Xenopus tropicalis: one gene and its partner. The protein of the gene in region 2 interacts with the protein of the main gene of each other region in a pairwise test. Links are inferred from orthologs where the notes say so. Each region holds a gene or a part of one and is shown on either strand. Other genes may lie near its edges.

What was found. The genes of interacting proteins can lie anywhere in the genome.
Region 1: the proteins of E3 ubiquitin-protein ligase TRIM39 (region 2) and ubxn6 interact in binary tests that used the Homo sapiens proteins (3 or more experiments, as listed by UniProt). The link is inferred for Xenopus tropicalis from reciprocal best matches to the Homo sapiens genes TRIM39 and UBXN6.

Annotation. Positions count from the first base shown.
Region 1 is NC_030677.2:93,773,748-93,777,404, reverse strand, and holds part of ubxn6 (UBX domain-containing protein 6), read right to left. Parts: intron 1,175-3,657; coding exon 1,026-1,174; intron 1-1,025. UniProt on the Homo sapiens protein: May negatively regulate the ATPase activity of VCP, an ATP-driven segregase that associates with different cofactors to control a wide variety of cellular processes.
Region 2 is NC_030678.2:143,275,948-143,279,604, reverse strand, and holds part of E3 ubiquitin-protein ligase TRIM39, read right to left. Parts: intron 1,637-3,657; coding exon 1,215-1,636; intron 700-1,214; coding exon 604-699; intron 1-603.

The DNA.
Region 1 (3,657 bases), on a different chromosome or scaffold from region 2:
CACTTCAGAAAATCGCATAAAACTGTTGCAATTTACCACATTTATCTCACACAATTACAGAGCCCTGACAGCGTATTATGTGCCGTAACACCCCCTAACTATAGAGAGACCCATAGAAAACCATATACTGTATATACTCGAGTATAAGCCTAGTTTTTCAGCACCCAAAATGTGCTGAAAAAAAGTCACCCTCGGCTTATACTCGGGTGCCATGGGTCCCTCTAGACTAGCACCCTCTCTCCTTTGTGTGCAAATTAGGCCACCCGCAACCAGACCCTCCAGTGTCCTGGCCTAGGCTCCCACTAGCAATACTTATTTCCCCTTACATCTCCTCTGGGACCGGGTCTGCTGCCAGTTTGCCAATGTGCAATGAGCGTGGGGTAGTACTCATATTGTTTTTGTTGACCCTCTTCTCCGCTTACAGAGCTAGTTTACTGTTTTTCTTTGAAATAAATATTGAAAAACATATACCCCACTGATGCCTCAATTAATGTAATTTTATTGGTATTTATTTTGATTATTAAAACTTAGCAGTAGCTGCTGCATTTCCCACCCTAGGCTTATACTCGAGTCAATAAGTTTTTCCAGTTTTCTTAGGTAAAATTAGGTACCTCGGCTTATATTCGGATCGGCTTATACTCGAGTATATACGGTATTTTTTGAAATTACACATTCTGATGAGTTCAAAATAGGTAGTTATTTTTCTACACCAAAGTTACACATGGCAAAGCTATGCTAAAAACAGATCAGGAACACTAATACAGGGATAAAAAAAAATGCAATAAAACCACAAAAATTGTGCAAATTAGTGAAACAACAAAATAAGTCACAACAGCGTAATTAGTGGTCAGAATATCTGATCCAATAGTCACGCTGTCAAAATAAACAGTAGGGAAAAGAAAAAAAAAAAAAAAGTAAAATGAAAAAAAATAAAAAGGCAAAGGTGCAGTTTTATAAGCCTTAGTTTCACCACCTCCCCCTAGAATTATAGCCAATAATTTTCCCTTTAACCTCTTCCTTCTCACCTGTTGTTGTATCCTTGGACTGCACCTTGGTCCGCCCCTGCAACGATTCCATTCTCGCCATTGCAGCAGAAGCCGCTGCTATCTGTGCCTCCCCTGTGGGAGGTTTACGTGGTTTAACTTGTTCTTTTGTAACTTTAGCCACATTTTCCCTGCAGGAAGAATTTTTTGAAAAATGTATTATCCATATTCTTTGTGCACGCTAGGCAAAGGTAGCACAATTGTCCCCCTTATTTCCTACCTGTTTATGGCATGTTATAAAGCTCATTATCTAAATATAACTTCAAAGCTTTCCTTCCCCACAAAAAATGTTTTACAGAGTCATTTAAAACAATCTTTTTTTTGTCTGCATGTCTTATAAACATCTACAAGTCTTATAAACATCTACAAGTATAAATGGATCAAGCAGCAGAACTAATTTTTCATAATCTGTCTATTTAAAATGGTAGTTTTACTTTGTATCAACTTTTGAGATGTTATAGAATGTCTGATTCTTAGTAACTTTTCAATTGTTCTCAATTTTTTTTTCTTTTTAAACTGGTTAACTTTTAGTATGATATTGCGAGTGCTATTTTGAGACAGTTTGCTATTGCTTTTCATTTTTTATTTGCAGTTTTTGAATTATTTAGCTTTTTGTTTAATAGCTCTCCAGGCAGTGGTTTAAAAGAGAGACAGAAATACAAATAGAGGAGGACCTAAATAGAAAGATAAGTGTTAGAAAGTAACAATAACAATTAAATTGTAGCCTCACAGACCAATAGTTTTAGAAGAGTAAGGCAAGTAATGTAATAAATTGAAAATTGAAAAGTTGGTAAGAATATGGCATTCTGTAGCATACTTAAAGTTGACCTGAAGGTGAATTACACCTTTATTTGTCTTTTTCTGCCTCTTTCCTGCATTCATATTTAACATGGGTCACTATTTCATCTTTATTATTATTTCTCTATTCATGCCCTCTCCGGTGGCTAGTTGTGACAAATATGTAATATTAAAGGAGGGTAAAAATCACTGGAGGGTGCCAAATGTTAGGCACCCCCCAGTGACTTTAATCGCTTTCCTTTTACCCCAGGCTGGTGCTCCTGTTAGGAGAAAACCACACCAGCCCGGGGTACCTGCAGTGTGTGTTTCCTCTTCCTTTTCACTCTACTGCGCATATGCAAGCGTGGAAAGGCAGGAAAGTAAGAGGGGACACTAGCTCACAGCTTCCCCAGGCTGGTGCAGTTTTCTTCTCACAGGAGCACCAGCCCAGAGTAAAAGGTAAGCGATTAAAGTCACTGGGAGGTGCCTAACATTTTGGCACCACCAAGTGACTTAGCCTTTCTTTCTCCTTTAAGTATATATGTACTGTATATAAGTTTTTTAAATTGACTGACATCTTGGCTGGATGACCAGCAAAAAACACACAACACAAAAGATTCCTATAAATCATGTATTGTGAAAAAAATGTCATGTGAAGATAGACATGACATCAACAGCCTGGACAATCCACTTCAAACATGAAAACAATACTACAAAACATCACAAACATTGTTCAAAAAAAGAATCACAGTATATCAACAATATAATACCATATATTCCATTCATCCATATTTTGGATCTACCTCACTTAATTTAAGTTACAAAACACATAGGAAGTGTTTACTTTCAGATAAATTAATATATTGTAAGTGAGGAACATACTGTAAGTATTTGAACACTCTGCGATTTTGCAAGTTCTCCCACTTAGAAATCATGGAGGGGTTTGAAATTCACATTGTAGGTGCATTCCCACTGTGAGAGACAGCATTTAAAAAAAAATTCAGGAAATCACATTGTATGATTTTTAAAGGAGAAGGAAAGGCTAAGTCACTTGGGGGTGCCAAAATGTTAGGCACCCCCAAGTGACTTAAATTGCCTACCTTTTACCCCGGGCTGGTGCCCCTGTTCTGAGAGAATAGCATCAACCCGGGGTAGCTGCGAGCGCTTCTTGCTTCACTCGTGCGCATGCGCAGTAAAGTGAAAAAGCTATAAAGTCGGCTTTTCACTCTACTGCACATGTGATTGTCCTGGGAATTTGCGCGCATGCGCAGTAAAGTGAAAAAGCTATAAAGTCGGCTTTGCACTCTACTGCACATGTGATTGTCCTGGGAATTTGCCGGCAGCGCGAATACGGAAGGAGGAAGCACTCGCTACAGGTACCCCGGGCTGGTAAAATTTTCTCCTAACAGGGGCACCAGCCCGGGGTACAAGGTAAGCGATTAAAGTCACTTGGGGGTGCCTAACATTTTGGCACCCCCAAGTGACTTAGCCTTTCCTTGTCCTTTAAAGAATGTATTTGTATTGCACTTCTGCACATAAGTATTTGAACACCTGAGAAAATCAGTGTTAATATTTGGTACAGAAGCCTTTGTTTGCAATTACAAAGGTCAAACGTTTCCTGTAGTTCTTGACCAGGCTTGCACACACTGCAACAGGGACTTTGGCCCACTCCTCCACACAGATCTCCTCTAGATCTGTCAGGTTTCGGGCCTGTCGCTGAGCAACACAGAGTTTGAGCTCCCTCCAAAGATTTTCTATTGGATTTAGGTCTGGAGATTGGCTAGGCCACTCCAGAAACTTGATATGCCTCTTACGGAGCCACACCTTGGTTACCCTG
Region 2 (3,657 bases):
CTGTTTTCACAGCTTAAGGATGGCTTCTTTCACCTGCATGCAGAGCTCCTTCCACATGCAAGCACCACACCTCAAATCAACTCCAGGCCTTTTATCTGCTTAATTGATAATGACATAACAACGGACTTGCCAACACCTGCCCATGAAATAGCCTTTGGGTCAATTGTCCAATTAATTTTGAGCCCTTGAAATTAAGGGATCGTGTTAAAATCCCCACTGTTTACCCCACCGAATTAAAGATGAAAGTCTGCACTTCAACTGTATCTGAGTTGTTTCATTTACAATTCATTGTGGTAATGTACAGAACCAAAATTAGAAAAAAGTTGTCTCTGTCCAAATATTTATGGACCTAACTGTGGACTGCAGAAGGCTAAACAGGAGTAACCTTGTGTCTCTGTGCTTCCAAAACTTGCATCCAAGCCAGAAATTTAAAAACGGGCACCTACTTTGAGGCCTCTGGGACCAACATCAGAGGGGGTGGTGAGCAAGATGTTGCTCAAAAACCCCTGGTTGGGGATCACTGCATTAGACAGTTCAGGGGTATTCCCAACCATATGAATGAACTTTTTCCAAGGAATATATTCAAGTGTCTCACAAAGCTACCTTAAGTTTTTCAACTTTTTGCTTGTCTTCAGACTTTGTTTCCAAGATAGCTGCACATTCTCTTCTTAATGTGTGAAGGCGATCTCTGAGCTGAACCTAAATACAATCATATTTCCTTCAGTTAGTGTTATATCAAGGCACTGGGCACAAGAAGCAATCAGAGGCTTCATTTACTAGTATTAAATATTGTCCAAAATGAACTCAATCAGTGTGATCATCTGAGTAGCAGAAGAGTAAGTATATATATTTAGCGAGCCATACATTATAACTGTGGCAGACGAGAATACACACACCAGTTTTGCTTTTATCTGCTGTAGAAAACTTTGTATATAACACTATTTGTTAGCTGGGATCGGTGAAGCCTGGCAACCAGAAAGATTCATTCTAAAGGGCATATTTTTAGCATTATTATTGTTAATCTTACTGATCTTTCTGATCAGGCTCCAATTCAGGCTTAAATCAGATTAAATTACAGCCAGACTGCTATGGTAAGAACATCTAGTTATTCCAATGATTATGAAAAACTGACCTATCACAAACAGTAATATCTGTACCACAATCTTTGCAGCAAACGTTGGGCTCTAAAACACAAATTGTTATTGTTTTGTCACCTTAAACTCTCTAGTTGACTCCTCCACTGGTATCACAGTATGGGTCCTATGTTCCACTGACTCTCGGCACACCAAACAAATTTCCTTTGCATCCACTTGACAAAAGAGTTTCATTGGTTCCTGGTGCTTTTCACATTGCTTCTTACTAACTGGAGACATTTTGGTAGCAGCAAGTCGTCCAGTTATTTCCACCATATTCTCCACAAGACGATTAGGCCGTAAAAATTTCCATCTGGATATGTTTCTGCACTGGGGACATTCAAAGTTGCTGTGAATTCCTCTCCAGGTACGGGTAATGCAGGCTCGGCAAAAACTGTGCCCACATTCAATAGAAACAGGTTCACTAAAGTGATCCAGGCAAATAGGGCACGTCAGTTCTTCCTTTAGCTCAGTTACTGGATTTCTCTTTGCTGTAGCCATTGCTGTAAGAAAAAGAAAGACAAATACACAAGGTCAGTCAAATGCAGTTGCACATCTTTTGTATTACACAGGTCCTTCATGTCACCACCAGTGCACTTGTTGAGGGCTTGTTCTGCAGATATGTAGTGCTAAACCCACACCAAGAAATATCCCTTGCTGGCTGCCACAAGCTGAGAAAGGAAGTGCCAAAACATTGTGATGTCTAATAAGCCTACAATTTAACCTCCTAAAGTTGTATTGCCCATTATAAGGAAATATTTGCAGTCAAATATGATAGAATTGTGCTCTCTTTAGGTAAAGAGACATCAAGCTTTCTAGTAACGTGGCTTGTCTTGCCTACCCCTACAAACAATTGTAAATACTCCATTCCATCAGGGAAAGGGAGAACAAAAGCTTAACTAAAAAGTAGGGTATAAATGTTGTACATTATGTTTTGGGCTTCTGTACCAGCCCAAGGCAACCCCAGCCCTTTAGCAGGGAAGATCTGTGCCTCCGAAGATGCCCCAGTAGCCCCCCCATCTTCTTTTCTGCTGATTCCCTGCACATGCTCTGTGCCGCTGTCACTTACTGAGCTTAGGGACCAACACATAATATACTTTGTATATAGAATATAAATGTCACAATAGAAAGCTCATTAGTTACGACCTTAAATGCTGCTAAAAATTGAGTGAGAGGGAGTACAAACCATTACAAATCAAAACTACACAGATACTAAGTCAGTTTACAATATGTACGGCATAGCTCAAACACTAGTCAGAATCCCAGCCAAACTGGCAGAGTGAGATTTGGGGCAAAAATGCAGTTGCTACCCTAGATATTTTTGAAACTATGACATCACAACCACAAAGGCGTCCTGGCAGCAGGGGCGTATTAAGTGAAACTAGCTCCTTGGCTGTATCTCAGGACATGGATGCCCAGGAGAATGCAGCTAATTGTGACCATGCCATGCTTTTTAAAGTTACACCCAACTTTTATTGCCACCATTTCTAGAGAATAATACCAGCCTTTCTATACCTGTTATTTTTCCACCTATTAATATGGGCATCAAACTTTTGTATCATGCCGGGCAGTATTAAACACATCCCATTTTAAAGGGCAATCCGAGGCCAGAACAGAGCACCACTGTTGAATCCACGCATGACTTTCAGCATTAAGTTTCATGCCTGCTTTTCCGGCTTGCAAAGTAAATTTAAATACTCCCAGAAACAAAGCATCAGCACCACCCAACATATAATAGTTCTGTAAGGCTAATGCCACACAGGGCTGATTCTCGGTCTGTGTATCAATGCACGCTGAGAATAAGCCCCTTCACTCACATCAGCCCTATCATGAGTATGCATTTTGGTGCTGAAATCCACCCCATGTGGCATTAACCTTAGAATTGGCCCAGTAATCCATCACACAGCACAGTGGTCGCAGCAATATTAGATACAGATGTCCAAGCAATATGTGATGCCTTGGTCCCCCAGTTGCATTGTATAGCAAGTGGCAGGCATACCTCAATTTTAAAAATGGGGTATAATATTTTCTTGTCATTGCTACCTTGTGTGTGAAAAATGCTTTGCAAATGTAAGGGGGAGATTTATTAAAGTGTGAGTTTGATTTTTCTCGCGATTCAAGTTTTTTTTGCACTAAAAAAAAAACTTACATTGGAATTCTGTTTCAGGAATGTCTGCTATTTAAAAACCCAAAAACTTGAATGTACAAATTCACCATTTAAAAGCTTGCCAGTTTCTATAGAAGTCAATGGGACTTGTACAAAGAACAGAAATTTACATGCACATGTAATAAAGCACTGGAACTTGTAATTAAATATATATTGGAAAGTTGCTTGAAATGAAATGGATTGTAGTATGTGCTATCGGGTAATCCTAAATAAAAAATTGGCATTAAAATTGCCTTAAAAATTAAGGGCCGCCTGCAGTGCACACAAACAAGCCATAGCACACATACAGTACATGCTAGGCACAGAGCCCATCACTAAATGGCGGCTCAAGGGAAGGGATGTAAAAGGGCAATATTT